Linked DNA regions of Drosophila melanogaster. The protein of the gene in region 1 interacts with the protein of each later gene in a pairwise test. Each region holds a gene or a part of one and is shown on either strand. Other genes may lie near its edges.

Region 1 (7,992 bases):
GATGCAATGCGACGACAATGGTGCTTACCTTGGATGGCGGAACTGGATTTGGAGTGCTGTGCTCTGCAGACGCTTTCAAATAATGCCGGATTTTATGTGGCTTTAGAATTTTACGTTGAATTTTGTTTTCAGATTAAATCTATTGCCTATTTGAAAGTAGAGACGACTAGTTTTTTTTGACGCACAGCTGCTACTGGATTCCTACGTCGTTCCGTTTTTCTGTTTTTCTAAACTAAAATTTTCAATATCGACAAACAGCTGATCCCATTCGATAGTATCGCCTATATTAGGGATGAGAAAAGTAATATGGTAAATAATTAATGTTATATATATTTCAAAACATTAAAGTAAATTTCGTTGTTGCTACTTGAGCTTAACTGTTCGTTAATTTCGCAGACAATATATATTAATAGAATTTTTGTTTTTTTTTGCTAAAAAATTGGTCTCCAAAATCAGCTGATAGACATCGATAAAGTTGGGAAAAGCTTGAGTTGCGCGCCAATTTCAAATACGAATTTCAAATCAAAATGATTATAAAATAAGTGGATTGGTCATCAGTGATATAATAAACATAGTAATTTTTTTAAAGTTATTTTTCCTACTTTCGTATTTTTAAGCAAATAAAACTGAATGCCATCTTCTGCTTTTGAAACATGTTTTGTATTTAATTGAATTACATAGATTGGAATTTACTATCGGTATTTCGCGTAGAACTAGGGACTTTTACTGGCACTGGCTGAGAGCGTGGGTGTAGAAGATCTTCTCCTCGACTCCTCGCTTGATCACGTGCGGAATCTTCTTGGGCACCATGCTGGAAATATATAAATACATAATATAGTTAGTTAACCAGTATATATATGATGCTGGTGACATTGAGGAACCCACGTGATGCAGTCGATGATGGGACAAACGGAGACGCAGAGTGTGCAGCCCGTGCAATCGTCGTTCACGTGCGGAATGTGGGTGTCCTTGTCGAATTCGATGGCCTGGTAGCCGGAATCGGCGCAGGTCATATAGCACTTTCCGCAGTTTATGCACATGTCCTGGAAAGCACGGATGCAATTAGAAATTTGGATACTTTAATGATAACTCAGCACTCACATCATCGATGAGCGCCACCTTCTGTTGTTTGTTATCCAGCTTGTTGTATGACCCGATCTTGTCTAGCGCTGCTCCGATCACATCCTTGATTCTTGGTGCCGGATTGGGTGCTCCATTGGACGCCGGAGGAGTGGCCTTCACCTGCTCGGCATCCCAAAGAGCTCCCTTCTGACTTCGCAGCTCGGCCATCTTGATGTCGCGCTGCCGCTGGTAGGGACCAAAGAAACCCAGCGTGGCTTTGCCCTCGCCGGTCAAACGGACAACGGGCTTGCCCTTCTGATGGACCGGCGTGGGTGGTGACTGGCCATCCCAGAAGGGACCATCGACTGGTGGCGGATTCGCCTTCAGGTAGAGCAGTGCCTTCAGTGCCGTGCAATAGTCCTCGATGACGGTGAAGTCCTGGTTCTGTACGGAGGAGCAGATCTGCAGAACAGTGGCGCCCGCATGAATAAACTGCAGCGCAACCTCACCGGAATCGATGCCACCGATACCGAGAATGGGGAATCCCGGCACACGGTTGGCAATATCAGAGATGGCCTTCAGAGCCATCGGACGAGTGGCATTGCCGGAGACGCCGCCGTAAGTGGTGCGCTGCTCCTTGCCAATCGCCGGCCAGGCGGTGGAGTCCGCCTTGAGGCCCATCAGTCCCTGAACGGTGTTGATGGCCGATCCGCCATCGGCTCCTCCCCGCTTTGCGGCCGCCGCAATGGAAACGATATCCGTAATGTTTGGCGTTAGCTTGATGAAGAAGGGCAGCTTGACCGCCTTTCGCACCCAGCGAGAGATCTGCTCCACCAACTCGGGATCCTGGCCACAGGCCAAGCCCATACCTCGCTCGCCCATGCCATGTGGACACGATAGATTCAGCTCGAGGGCATCGGCACCCGACTGCTCCGCCTTAATGGCCAACTCCGTCCAGTCTTCCTCGTTGAAGCTGCACATAATGCTGGCTATCACGATCTTCTCGGGGAAGTCACGCTTCAGTTCTCCAATCGATTTCAGCCAGTACTCGGCCCGCTTCTCCGAGATTAGTTCGATGTTCAGGAAACAGCCCTGCTGCGGTCCATACTTGTAGCCCGACGTGGTGCCCCTGACGATGCGCGGCGAGACATTCGTGACCAGATCCTTGTCCAGACCGAACGTCTTGGTCACCACAAAGCCCCAGCCCTGCTCGAAGGCGCGACGTATCATGGCCGTGCTGGTGGTGGGCGGTGCGGAGGCCAGGCCAAAGGGATTCTCGAACCGGATGCCGCACATCTCCACCGATATGTCCACGGCATCGATGTCCGTATAGAAGAGCGGCAGTGCAGCCGGCGTGTCCAGTGGCAGGCCCTGCAGTTGACAATGAATGCTCCAGGCGGCCACCTTGCCATCATTGACCGACTCCACCGTGGTGTTGGCCACTCCAGCGAGATCGCCGCCGAGGAACACCTGTTTCACACTGCTCTGCATCGTCACCCTGTCCACCACGGGCAATTCGCCGCGGAATTGCAACGGCGCTAGTGCCGCCTTGACATCCTGATCCTCCAGGCCGGACCCAAAGGCGGAGATCACAAAGTTCGCCTTCAAGCGCTGCGTCTGCTCCTCATCCTCCACCCATTCATCGTTTTCGTTCTGCTCCGTGCGACAGAATTCCATGGCTGTGATCAGGCCATCCTTGACGATCACTTTGCGTGGACTCAGGTACGGCAACAGCTCACAGCGTTCGTCACGCGCCAGCTCCACCTCTTCGGGCACAGCACGAATGCCGGAGGATCCTTTGCGGAAGACGACGAACACACGCCTAGCACCACATCTCAGCGCCGAAGTGGCGCAATCGAAGGCCGTATCACCGGCACCCAAAACGATGACATTGCCATGGAGCTTGGGTAAACCGGCCGCTGCCTTGCAGGCGCACAAACCCGGTTTCGAGCCATCCGACACCAAGGGCAGGAAGTTTTTCGAGGTGTAGAAACCATTGCTGGGCTGAAGGCCAGCGAAAATGGGATTCAGCTTCGGTTCCGGCAGGCCAATGCCCACAAAGACGGCATCATGGCCGGTGGACAGGAGTCCCTGGATGGTCAAATCCTTGGTGCCCAGCGAGCGACCCGTTTCGATGCGTACGCCCAGATCGCGAACCAAATCGATCTCAAAGTTAACCGCATCGATGGGCAGACGATACTGGGGAATTTCAGCGGCACTCAGGCCACCCAGATAGCTTCTCCGCTCGTAGATGGTCACATCCCGATAGCCCAGACGGGCCAGGAAGGTGGCGCACGACAGCGATGCCGGTCCGCCGCCCACGAGGGCGATCTTTTGCGACAGCGGATTGGCCTCCGCCTGCGGTGTCCTCCGCTGCCGCACGCCCATCTTCTTGAACACCTCGGTGGCGAACTGCTGGAGGCCACCAATGTTAATCGGTCCCGCCTCGGAGGCCTGCAGATTGCAACCGCCCACGCAGAGATCGCTGGTGGGACAGACCATGCCGCAGGTCAGACCCAGCGGATTGTCGGAGAAGATCGCCTTGGCGGCGCCATAGAAATTCTTATTCGCAATGCTCGTAATGAAGCTCTTGATGTCCAGCTGCGTGGGACAGGACTTTTGGCACGGAGCATCGGCGCATTTGAGGCACCTGGCCGCCTCCTCTAGAGCTCCGCGCTCCGACAATGTGGTGTGCTTGATGTCCGAGAAGTCGTTGGCCAGCGTGGTGCACGGCGGAGCAGCGTGATCCGCATTGCGTTTCCAGTGCTTCTTGTTCTCCTTCGTCTGCTTGGTGGGCACCACGGAGCACTGCGTCTTCACTCGCGGATTTAGCGACAGCAGGTCCTAGGAATTACGAAAGGTTTTCACTATCAACGGGAAGTGAATCATGATCCAGGACCTACCTCAATATCTGGGGAGTCCTTGCTCAAAAGTTGGGGCGGACTCATCTTGCTGGCACTGTTTCACCTGTTAATGAAGTGAAAGTGGAACATATGGATTACAGACTGCGGTTGATGGCCACGTGCAGATCGGCGAACTACCCTATCCCTATCGCATCGCAGCCAGAATACCCTAATCGCGAATGGTGACTCCCAGTCGTCTTATCGCTGCCCCACTCGAAATCCAAATCGATCCTGGACAAGACGCTGTATCTAAGTGCACTAATGCCACACCATTGGTCTTATCATCTTATGTATGAGGGCGTTATCATCATATCAGTCAAGGCTGCGACGGCTAGCGGAGATTATGATGGCTTTATGATGGCACGCATATTGGCACCACCCGGTTTTCTATACGTTTCTGTATCTGCTGTTTTTCCACCAAAAGTTTCAGAACCCCAAAAATAAATGGTGCCACCCCACGAAGAGGAAAGATTAGAAACCGGCGAAGGTTACGATCGGGGGGGCCCGTTTCGCTTCTTTTTTTTTTAGCGATAATGGGGCAAGCACTCGATTCGGAAGTTCTGCTTTCGATTTCATTTAAGTATCTAGTAGGTTAAGTATCTCAAGCTGGCGTAAATGTATCTATTAAATGTATCTCAGCTTAGAAGAAGTAATAAACTAACTTCGAAATACATATTCTATTTACAGTTGCTTTTCCTTTTAACTTTGAGAATTGCCACAAATATTATTATATTATTAAATATTATTATTATTATTATATTATGAACCAAATGCCAGAAACTTTGTAAAGTAATACGCATTTAATAAAAAAAAACTGTCACCGTTGCAAATCGACGGCGGAAGTTGTTTTGTATGCCTTTAGCTGTATCTTCTAAGCATGTGCTTAATACAAAGTAAACATTATTCATTATCTATTAGCACAGTGAATTAATAATGGTAAGTAAACCGACTGTTAGCTATTGCCTAATTATAAACGATAATAAAGTTGTTTTACATATTAACCATTCTCACATTACCAATTACTTGGCTTTTTGTGAATAGCCATAACTATTTTAATCACACAAACGTGGAGCTTTGCTTTACAAGACCTTCAATCGAATTCAATTCAATTAATATTTTGTAACACGCGCTATCTCCCTCGGCGCCGCGCGCCCTCTCGCTCTCGCGCACACTCTAGCGCGCTGATTAAGAATTTTTATAGATGTATTTTGTTTTTTTCGTTTTTGTCATAATAGTTGAAGCCCCCAGCTGCTGTTTGTTCATTATCAGTTTGGCTTCGTGGTCCGGCAAGTTTTTGAATATGTTTTCATTATACGTAGGTACATATGTATATGCTATATGCTAATGGCGAAATGCGAAAAACAAGTTCAGAATTCGAGCTGCTGCTTATGCTTAAATTGGGTTTCGTTTCGTTTGATTGTTAGATGTTTTTTTCAATTTTTTTTCTTTTTGCTCATTTAGCCAAGATTGGTGGCCGCAATACATACCGATCGAAGGAACGTTATTAGCTAATTTATGAACACTTTTTTTTATTAGAATCTTTAGATTAGCACAGCGAAAAAAAATAATAATAATAGCTATTCACTAGCTGGAGTGAAAATCGACTGGCGACGGTTTGGCGACTAAAAAAAAAAACACGAAAAATTCGAATTGGTCTTCACACTGGAAACGCCCAATTGAAAATGCTCTTGGAAACCGATTTCCAAATCGTCGTTAACTCGGTTTTGCGTCGCAGTCGGCGTCGCTGCCGACGTCGGTCTTCCCATTTCACAGGGGCGTAGCCTAGCTCCCAAATGGGGGGGGGGGGGGGGGTCTTTATCAGATTTTACACACAATAGCTTTAGAGTCGCAATGAGATAACAATATGAAGTTAAGTTGCTGGGCTAGTAAGTAATAGTATATCTTTATTATTTTCTCAAAACAATCCATATATATATATATAGTTCTCGTCTGGTATGTCTTTGCAAAAACATTGTTGTCTAGTTGTTAACGTTGTTGAACACTGAGAAAAACACGCAAATCATAACGAGATAAGATCTTATATATTTATTACATAAGATTATATATTATGAATTTAAAACTCAATCTCGTAAAAGTATCTAAGAGGTTTATTTTTTATCAAATTTTTTTATATTTTCCATTTGATTTTATCACTATCCCAATTTTATCTCTAAGATGGTATCTTTTCGAACTTTTCTTAGTGTAGATAAAGTATTTCAGGGTGTGCTATTCGATCGCCTTAGTTTTGTTTGTACACTCTTCGCTCTCAGTTTCGATTGAATCAACCTTACAATTTACTACAGTAAGTATTCAGTTGAGCGAACTTCTACAGAATTTCAAATAGATGCTTTAATAATTGCAATGGTACTAAAAATATAATAATATGAATATTATTTCTTCAGTTTTCTTAGTTCAGATAAAGATTATTTACTGAATGATTAGATGTTACATTTTGCAGAATGATAGAAGTTTGCAAATAAATATTAATTAGTTGAATATCAGGTAGTTTCACTTTGGAGATTTTGCTGTAGCACATTACATCAGTTCATTCATATAATCACAGCCCAAAAGAATGCTATTTTAGAGGATTTGTATTATATATATATCGTTATTCTTTCATAAAATTTTTGATAAATATACCAGCATATTTGTTAAAAGCTAAACATTTATAAGCTTCATTTGGATAATTTTTGAAATCAAATCAAATTGAAGTTCGCATTTTGGCAGTTTACCTTTTGGATTTATTTATCAACGCGGCTTTTACATAAACTTGGCCTAGAAGTATGCAATCGTTTAATTGAAATGCTCATTCTAAAGTGTTGTGTTTAACATAAAGAATACAAATAGCTTATTTTCTAAAATGTTGCAGACATTTTAGATTGCTAACTTATTATAAAATATATAATACGTTTCCGGTGCTCCTAGCATTTATTTTTGGCCATGAGCATTTGCTTTTCTTGATTTATCTGCCATTAAATTGTAATCATATTGGCCATAAAAACGCAGACATTCTGAGTGCCAAGTTCCAAGTTGGCACTGGCCCGTGACATTGGCCATCAACTTGGGATAATCTCTAGCTGAATGGCCAGATGAATGAGTTGTTTGCAGTAGCCTTTTCTAGTCGAAATCCCCGGAAAGGCGCCACTAACGCCTGCCAGCCTCCATTGGCTGCCCATTAAAGTGAAATAAATAACTCGGGACTACAGGGGGCCAGAGATTAACCTCACTCCGTGCGTAGTAAATCAGAACGCTTAATTAATACACAATGCAGGCGGGTTAATAAATTACTTACAAAATGCATGCCGAAATTCAAATGCGTTTTTCGTCTGGGCGAAACGTGTTGACTGCCGGATTCCATTATTCACTTTCGCCACTTTTTGCAGGAATTAGAATTTGAGCGGACAGCATCTGAGTTCCATTTTCACATCGCTCATTCCTCATTTGGGTGGCATCCCAGACTTTGGTATAATTCCTTCAGAGGGCCGAAGATCGGAGAGTGATGATGGCGCCCATCGCAACTACAATATATTGTTCACTAAAACAGGGGTCGATTGGCCGGATACCCAGTAGCTCTTCACAAAACTGATCACTACTTTAGGCATTTACAATTCCTTTTCCAAATATGAAATATGGAATATATATCAAACTGAGTTCAACAAAGAAAAAAAACCAAACGGAAATATTGACTTTTTTCAAAATATCGAAAAAATAATCCTTTTTTGCGAAAAAATAATCCGTTTTTTTATCAGAACATTTCAAATAATGGTCTAAATATGGAATGTCATACCTCGTTGAGCTCGTAATTAAATTTCCAATCAAACTGTGTCCAAAAAAGGAAATTCTATTTTTTTGACATTTTTTGCAAATTTTGATGATGTTACCCCTTACAAAAAATGCGAAAATTGACCCAAAAATTTAAATTCCTAAAAACTTCAAAAAGTGATAGGGATCGTTAGCAGTGGTAATTAGCTGCTCAAAACAGTTATTCTTACATCTATATGAGCATTTTTGGCCAAGTTATGACGAA
Region 2 (3,801 bases), on another chromosome or scaffold:
ACGAAATGGACGCATCGAGCACTGAGTAATTAATTAATTGACTAATTAATATGCACACTGCGCAGCTTGCCGGTTGAGATTTTGGATTTAGATTCCTACATTTCGGATATACACAGCTTCTGCCAACGAAACTGACCTTGCCCGATGTCAAACACCCGCGACGCATTTTTATTTAACGGCCACAGGCGCGAAATTCGATCATGAATGGAGGTGAGATGGTGACGCAATTTAGATTCGCAACCAAAATCTGGGCTAGTGGGGGTGCGCGCTCCCAGTCATCCGCGTGACAACTTCCTTGACTAACCGGTTAAATCTTAAACGGCGGCTCCACAAAGTGAATTTATTTAGCGCCTGTTTTGTGTCTTGTTGCTCCAGGTGACAGAACCCAGTTGTTTGGGCAGGCCCCAAAAACACAATAAGTGTGGCGGGGCACGCCCTGTAATACAAATATTTGCAGCATGCAAATTACCTGTTTTACAAATGACAAACGAAGGCACACTCATCTGGTAATAAAAACTGCCACTTGTAGGTTGATTTGCCATGCAATCACACTCAGCTCGCATGACAATAGAAAGTTTCTAACTCTGGGATTCTCAAGAAATTCCGATTTCCGCATAGTTCGACGACAGAACTATCAAGCTGAACCTTGCATCTAATTTGCAGTTCTATGCTGGGCGAATTCATGTAATGCAAATAGGAGTGTATGTCGATCGGTCGTTTTTAATGCCTGTAATTAGTATTCCCACCCATGTCTAAATTGAGATGCGTCATCACAGGTATTAAAAATTGTTTAGCTACAATTAGCGTCATTCAAGTTATTTGGCAGCTCGATAGGATCGAATGCTTTTAATAAAAACAATTGAACTGGACTTTGCCGCTTAAGTGTTTCTACAACAGTAACAGGTTAAATAATAAATGCAATTTTCAGCTTAACGTTAGGGGAGTGGCACGATATCTATTTACTCCCCCTTGTAGACGGGCTTCCGCTTCTCGGCAAAGGCAGCGAGTCCCTCCAAACGATCCTTAGTGGGTATCACCTGCGAGTAGCAGATCTCTTCGATGGAGTAGCCGGTGGCCAGGTCCACCTGCATGCCCTTGTCAATGGCCAGTTTGGCCATTCGCACGCCCACTGGCCCATTCGGGAGAATTTCCTCTGCCAATTTAAGTGCCTGCTGATAGGCGGCATCCTGGGTTTCGTTCTGTTTCACTACATGGTTAACCAGACCCAGATCTTTCGCCTCTGCTCCGTTAAACACTCGTGCCGTGAAAATGAGTTCTTTGGCCAGAGCAGGGGACAGAATGCGGGGCAGTCTTTGGGTGCCACCAGCTCCTGGTATGATGGCTAACCTTGTCTCCACCAGACCCATCTTCGTGTCGCTAGCAGCAGTCCGGATGTCACAGGCCAGAGCCATTTCCAGACCTCCGCCGAGAGCAGCTCCATCCACAGCGGCGATTACCGGCATGGGCAGCTGCTCAATGGCAATAAGCAGTCCCCTGAGCTCTTTTACAAATTCGGTGGCTTCCTCGGGAGTCATGCCTGGGATATATGTATAAGATAAGTTAGCTTTATCACAGGGATGTAAAATATTTAAGGATTAACCTTTTCGCTCTTTCAAATCCGCTCCGGCACAGAAGATTCCAGGGCTCAGACTCCTCAATACAACCACCCTCGATCCATTATCCTTCTTTATATCTTCCAGGACATCGTTGAAGGTCTCCACCATTCCCCGGCTAAAGGAATTCTTTGCTGCTGGTCGGTTTAGGCCAATAACTGAGATACCCTGCCGAGCTCCATCCAAACGCTCCACGAGAACTTCAGTTCCATCGCCATAGGGCGCTGCCGACGCCAAATTACGTGATGCAACAAGTGGCCGGGCTAACTGTCGAGCTAAACCAGACGCTCTTTTTATTAACATTGACATTTTAACGTTGAAAACAGATAAAAAGAAAGCAAGAAAAGGCAATAAGCTGATTATAAAACGACCGGCAGAAAACAGCTGTTGCCGCTGGTGCTGACAAAAGCTTAAAGCCACTATCGATAACAGTATTAAAGACACCAAGGCGGTTAATAACCGCGGTTGTTCACACTGCTTTAACATTTTACGGCATTCTTCTGACCAAATATATAAAATAGTAATATCAATGTATATGGATATAAAGATAAGCCGCTTTATAAGAATTATAATAAATGCTTTCATGGTACGAATTTTTAGATTTGCGATCTTTGTATTTATTTGCGTCTCCCACTCTTCAAAATGCTGCATAGTGAGAACAATTGATAAGCTCTGTAAGTGTGACCAAGCTGTTTCGGCATGAAAAGAAAACCACAACATCAACGGCCAAAGCACAGGCAAAAAGCGCCAGCCGGTGATGGTTAAATTTTCAGTATAAAAAATCGCCAATGTATATTTAAAGCATATTTGCAAGTACGCCCTCAACGCTCCAAGGATTGTGGCCCCAGGAACGATTGGAGCATTCCACAGAGCGACCCTATCCGGAGTAGTTACAACCGCAATTCGTTTTGCACCCGTTCCATTTGGCCCGCATGACGTAGTTTTGCGCTAGAGGAGAAACCACGGAGCACCCCCCACAATAGAAAAGAACTGATTGGAATCTATAGTGCGATAGTGACGCAGCGCGCCGTGTAAGCATTACCATATGTGTGGAAGAGATAAGCCTAATATGTATTCCTTTCCAGTGCAGGATGCTGTTGCGCGGCGTGCAGATCCTGCAGCGAAGACACCAGCACTTGGGAAAGGCTTTTAGCCAGTGCTCCTTACGTCAAGACGGCAGGAACCCTTGGAGGCGGCATGACGGCGAGGCATTCAAACTACAGCCGTGGAAGCGACCAAGCACGTTCCTTCAGTTTCGCTGCAGCGCCAATGGCAGTGATTCCAAGAAGGAAAAACCTGTGCAGGAGGAGGCCACCGCTGGTCCAGTTGCCAAGCCAAAGGAAACGAAAAACTTTGAGGTGAAGACCACAAAGGGCATCCTGTCTATCAGCACCACCATCGAGGACTCCAAAATTAACGAGATTGTGTTTGAAAAATCCGATCTGCCACCGGTAACGAAGGTGAAAGAGCCGGTTTTGGCCGCAAGTGCCATTAATCTACGTTCTACGTCTACTGGAGTAGCAACTGGTGCTGTAGGATTGGGAGAGAGCTCTGGTTCTGTTATGAATCCTCCTGAAACAGTGAAAAGCGCACCTAAAAATTCTCCGTCTGGTGCTGTGCTAGCTGAAAAGGCGGGAGAAGGTATTCGAACATCCCCACCTGCAGAGGTAACGCCTCCAGCGCCTGTGATTCCTCTAAAGCGACCCCGATTCGATTATCGTGCTTCCCTAGAGCGCAACTTTGTGACCCCCAACCGGGCCATCAGCGATTTCTTGTTGACCGCTGCTCAACTCGAAAGTCTGCCCAAGATCAAGCGGAGATCGCCGTACGAGCAGGAGCCACCCATGACTGTCTACTGGCGACGGGATGTGGAGGCTAAGGCCGTCGAAGTGTGGGGGTCCAAGGAAAATCTGTTGCGGGAGCGACTCAAGCGGGAGGTGGAGCGCAAGCAATACCAGCAGAGTAAGTGTTTTTGTGTCCTGTGTCCGTTCTACCTTTAATATGGGTGCTAAAGTCTATGACTCCGCAGATCTATTCACTGTTAAACGGCGGTTGCGTGACTACCGCAGGGAAATGGGATCTCGAACCAAAGTAATGCTCGACAACAGAAAGGAGTCGGAGAAGTCCGGGCAAGTGGTGGCCACCGCCATCGCTATGTGAGTTATATTACTTAAGAAACTAAAGTTTC
Region 3 (5,164 bases), on another chromosome or scaffold:
TTTTTCTATTTTTTTCTTAACTTTTTCTATTTTTTTTTTGGCACATTACATAAAATTTCGTAACATTCTGCGGCAGTCGGCAGAGACTCGGTTTCGGTTTCTGAAGTTGGAAGTTTAAGAAAACTCCACTGACCTGTTAACAGAGAGACTCTAGTATGCCATACAGCCAGTTAACTTGGCTCGCAGTGGCTCACAGTTGGCCAAGAAGAAAGTTATAGACAGCTACACTACAGTAAAAACAACTTTTGCCCAAGAAGAAGCAGCCATAAACGAGTAGAACACGTTTTACTGTTGGACTTTACCGCTCTCGCTGCCTCCGTCGACGTCGCTGCCGCAGCGGGCTGCGCTGCCTCCGGCGACGTCAACTGAAGCAACAATTTTCCCGATTTCCCGAGTATGTGGGAAAGCTCTGAGTTGTGACTGTCAATTTTCCTCGTCCCGGACACTGAAAATGAAACGTCAGTCACTCAGTCAGGGCGAATCGAATTAATTACACCTCAATTTATCATCGGATGTATTTCTATCAGCCGTATATTCACTCATTTTTTCCCCCAACTGCCCCATTGCGATTTCACTTTGAAATGGGCTGGTTCGCCTCGCCGGACAGAAGCAGAAATTAGCACTTGGGGAACGCTCCTCTATATATCGGCCATATATGCATAATGCTCGCTCGATCGCGGACGGGAGTATGCGGAATGGGGTTAGGGTGCGGAACGATGCCGGAATAAATCAATATTAATATAGCACTCTGCGATTCGCAACTCCAGGTGGCAAAAATATTTACGTATGGCTAATCGGGAAGGGGGTCTTATGAAGGAAGTCAAGGGAAAGAATTTGATTTGGCCATAAATCAAATAAAACTTTAAAGAATGCGGTCAAGGGAAGGTTATGGTAATCAAATAAATATTTTAAGCCTGTCTTGTCACTTTATCTCTTAATTAACAAACAATTTATTGCGCCTCTTGAAAACGTTCAATAATGGAAATGTTTTTTATATGAGTAGTATTCTGATCGTAAGTAGGTTAATTAGGTTTTAAAATGTTCTCTTCAGCCATAACCTGCATTTTATCCCACACAATTCTATTTTATGGCCAGGCTTTCTCATTTGTGTAATTGAAAATTTCAGTTTTATGATTCGTGCAGTAATTCAAATGGGTTTTATTGCCTCGGCTTTGTTCCATTTAATTTTTGTTTATTCAGAGTTGCAATAAAGCTGCCCTGATGACGACTCAACGAGACTCGCCCGTCTTGGATTCTTAGATCATAGCTCACGAGTGTTGGCTGACAAGCCGCTAACTGTTATAGCTGGCCGTTTAGTGTGCCAAATACTTTCCCAGGCCAGCCCAGCTCGTCAAATTAATTGAAGAATCGAGCCAAGAGAGCCGAGCAGACGAGCTGCGCCAGAGTCAGAGTCAGAGAAAGACGCAGAAAGCAGCCAAATGTAAATTCACGCTTCGGGCCGAGCTTCGGCTTTTCCTGAGCCAAATTGGGAAGTTGGTAGCTTGGTAAGTTGGTAAGACGAGCTGGCTGCCAGCGATCAGTTGCAGACGGTCAGTCGAGCGAGACAGTTGTGTGCGCGCCGGTGTTGGAAACCCGAACTCGAATTCGAACCACTGAAGAGCCAGCCAAGCTCAGGCCAGAATCCACCATCGACTCGAATCGAATCGAAACGAATCGAATCGCCACAAAAATAAAAAAGAAACCAACACAAACAGGTAAAGAGAGGCGGTAAAAAAGAAAGTCACTGCCCAAGAATCGGGCAGTAAGAAGGGGGGTGCTCCGAACTCAGGACTGAAAACAGAAAACTTCAAACTGAAAACTAAAAACCATCCAAGAAGCAGTTCGCCAGCGACAGTCTTTCACGGCAACTCGAGGAGATCGCACGAATCGGTTGCGAATCGGTCTATAAACCCACTACTATCGGTTGTTATCGGTTCTGTGCCACGATCAGTGAATAATATTTAGTCAAGGTTAGCCTTCGGATTACGAATACCAGAAACATTGTGTGAAAGCAGAGGGATCATCCGTGATTCCCAAATAATTTGTGTCACTACGCCAGCAAATTTTGAAATATGGCTTTAATATAGAAAAATAAATTTGTATTTTTCTTTCCTCTACAAATGGATAACATAAAATTATCTGTAACACTGAAGAGTGTAGAACATTTTCATATAAATAATTCTGAAGATTACTCCTACTACCTTTTGGTTTTCCTGCTTCGTTGATAAAGAAGTAGAACATTTTTTGTTATTTACAACAAAATTATTCGTGTTATATTTTCAATTACTGGAACCTCAGTTTAATTTAGAATTAACAGCTCCCTTAGATGAGATTGTCTAATTGATTTCGTAAATATTGCTCACAAACTTGTGAAATCTAGAGTGAATTTCAACTAACCAATAAGACCAAGGGCGTTTAAAAAAGGCTGAAAGGTTTTTAATAAATTCTGCTAATATTTACAGTACCCAATAAAAAAACTGTGAAATTGAACCAAGGATTATCATCGATTTTGCTGTGTGAAAATATGAGTATCCTTTAAGACTAAGTTGGCATTGGACTAAAAAGTACGTGAAAGTGGAGCGGCATGCCAGCGATTTCGATCTGTTCCATTTAACCTTCCACTCTTGTAGTATTTTTTTTGCGGGAAATGTAAGCGTTTGCATGCCCAGTTTTTCCTGACCCCACGACACACACCCACACTAGTTTCCTCCTCCTGATTTTCCTCGGACCCAAAGGAGGGCCCATAAAGCTCAGCTCGACGCGATGCAGCCTTGAAACGGGCCAAAACGTCTTGGGCAAGAACTTTTAATTGATTTTCAACTGCGGAAGGCAACTTGTGCCCGGAGTCGGACTCTTAACTGGCCGGGTCATAAATTGTATCTGCGGCAATTTAGGGCCAAGTACAATACACTACGAGTACAACACGATTCCCTTCCCTTTCCAAGACCAATGGCAATTTCTCTGGTTTTTATGCGCTCCATTTTCACATGTGCTGCTGATGTTGTTTGGTGTTCTGCGGTCAGCAGACCAAGCCAGGCCAAACCGAACCAAAACCAAACCAAACCAAAACGAACTATATAGAATGCGATGCGAACCAAGTTGAGTAATCATCTCTCGTGGCTCTCAGCTTTCTTCTGCCCAGATGACCCACATACGAAGCGACTTGAAGCAGTTAATTTAAGTGTTTCCTGGCCAGTTTCAGATTCAGCTACAGCATCTCGACCAGTTTCAGCCAAGTTATAGTTTACACTGTTTACATTGGCCAGCACTTTGCTGCCAAAACAAAACACACTCGTCGTCGGCCAACGGGGCGTATGAATTGGGCTGTGCATACTTGCAGCAAGGACAAGCTATTAACTGAGCAAAGTCTGCTGGCAATTCGAGTGGCTTTAATTCGTTTTACTCATTTTTCGTACATTTTTGTGTAGCTCAGTAGCTGGTTCATGACCAAGTTTATGCAGCTTGTCAGTCAGCAAAGTTTTCGAAAAGGGGATTCCCCTGTCCAGCCAAGACTGCCAGCTTGTTCCGCCAGGTGGCGCCGCCGTGACGATAACAAAGTCCTAATTCAAGTGACGTGCGAATGCATGCGAAAAAGAAACGCAAGCAAAGTGCAAAAACATAAGAGAGAACGATAGCAACTATTTTTGCGTGGACAGTGCACTAAAGCAAATTTAGGACATTTTTGTGCAACATCATGGTATAAGGCTCCAGAAGTTCCATGAACTTTGACTGATGACCCAAAAACTTTTTAAAAAACATATTATAAGTTTATGGATTGGAATAAACATTTTCATATCTGTCCTAGCTTTTTGAACTTAAAACATCTACATATGTACATATTCTCAGTCTTTGGCGAACTATTTTTCAGTACCCACAAACTTTAGTCGTAGACTTTTTAAAGAAGTGCCTCACCCTAAGCAGCCGAACCCCTTTTCTGTGATTTAAGCTCCCAAAAAACTCCAGCCCGTGCATCTGCTCCCCCCTAAAAAGCGCTTACTGCAAATTTAGAGGGGGCGTGGCCGTTGAAGCGGCACGTGTAAAGCTTATTTTTCTACACCACCTCGTGGGCCATTGTCTTGGAAAATTAACTGCAACGCAGCTGCGAAGACAAGGCTCCGCAAACATATGAGACAAACTCGAACAAAGAAGGATATCAAGCTGTGGGAAATCTGGCGCAGGTGGGCATGGCAGAGGGGGCGTGGCAGTGGGTTAGGATATGCAAATCCTGTCTGCACGTGGCCTTTTGTGCGGCCTGCATATTTATTGATATGACGCTGATATGACAATGCGGATAGAGGACAGGAACTGGAGCTGAGCCAAGGATCCAAGGAGCCAAGCAGCTCCAACATCAAGTGGCAGCTGCCACGCCTCAGGCCACCGCCTTCAATAGTTACCCCAGTTCCACCTCGCTCATCCCCTCCTTCAATCGCACTCGGTCCCCTGAGTGGGGCTTAAGTAATTTTTGCTGGCTATGTGACGTGCAAGTGCACAGCAAACACAACCCAAATGCACTGGGAGAAACTGAACCAATTACATATCTTTTAGAGATTTGATTGATTGCGTTTTTTAAAGATTTATGATATTTGAGATTTGTTTATAAATATGCTACAATATTTGGTTTATTTAGTTTTATTGAACTAATTAGTCTTTCGAACATAATTTAGTTTTGCAATAATTTCATCTTTTTTTCTGTGTGTACCCCTCGCCCGGTATCTTTTGCATCAGCATCACGCACATGAATATTAATGTAGAATGCACACACGGTTAGCTGCGTTTTTCTATGGGGGCATTAAAATATTGTATAGTGGGAGCAGCGTTCCATATGAGTTAGTTCCTACAATAGACAACACCAGAGCGGCTAAGAAGAAGAAGAAGAAGAAGACGAAGAATCTGATGAAGAAGAAGAGAGAGCCAAGTGGTTGCCAAAGCTGAAGAACTGCAAGAACTTGAGCCCCCATTCTTTCTGTCCCACGCCTGTCAGAAGTTTTGCATTGCATTGTTGCCTTGCCCTTTAGCTTTCAACCCTTCCCTACCCCCCTGCCTCAAAAAAGACCCGCCAACCATCATTCAGTAACCCCAAACGCTTTTCTTGTTCTTGCCTTTTCTGCGGCATGACGCGTGAAATGTTCCTAGTTCGGTGAGAAAAATGGTAGATAAAACGCTT

What was found.
Region 2: the proteins of su(r) (region 1) and CG8778 interact in a two-hybrid assay, tested with the Drosophila melanogaster proteins (one large-scale study listed by BioGRID).
Region 3: the proteins of su(r) (region 1) and ect interact in a two-hybrid assay, tested with the Drosophila melanogaster proteins (one large-scale study listed by BioGRID).

What each region holds. Positions count from the first base shown.
Region 1 is NC_004354.4:9,196,168-9,204,159, forward strand, and holds su(r) (suppressor of rudimentary), read right to left. Parts: upstream 5,654-7,992; 5' UTR 5,453-5,653; intron 4,030-5,452; 5' UTR 4,011-4,029; coding exon 3,966-4,010; intron 3,907-3,965; coding exon 1,102-3,906; intron 1,044-1,101; coding exon 886-1,043; intron 812-885; coding exon 724-811; 3' UTR 641-723; downstream 1-640.
Region 2 is NT_033778.4:12,650,484-12,654,284, forward strand, and holds CG8778 (uncharacterized protein), read right to left. Parts: upstream 2,005-3,801; 5' UTR 1,923-2,004; coding exon 1,601-1,922; intron 1,538-1,600; coding exon 960-1,537; 3' UTR 818-959; downstream 1-817. Other genes in the region: ZnT49B (zinc transporter 49B), read left to right, coding at 2,705-3,575, 3,628-3,769.
Region 3 is NT_037436.4:10,198,209-10,203,372, reverse strand, and holds the start of ect (ectodermal), read left to right. Parts: upstream 1-1,847; 5' UTR 1,848-1,970; intron 1,971-5,164.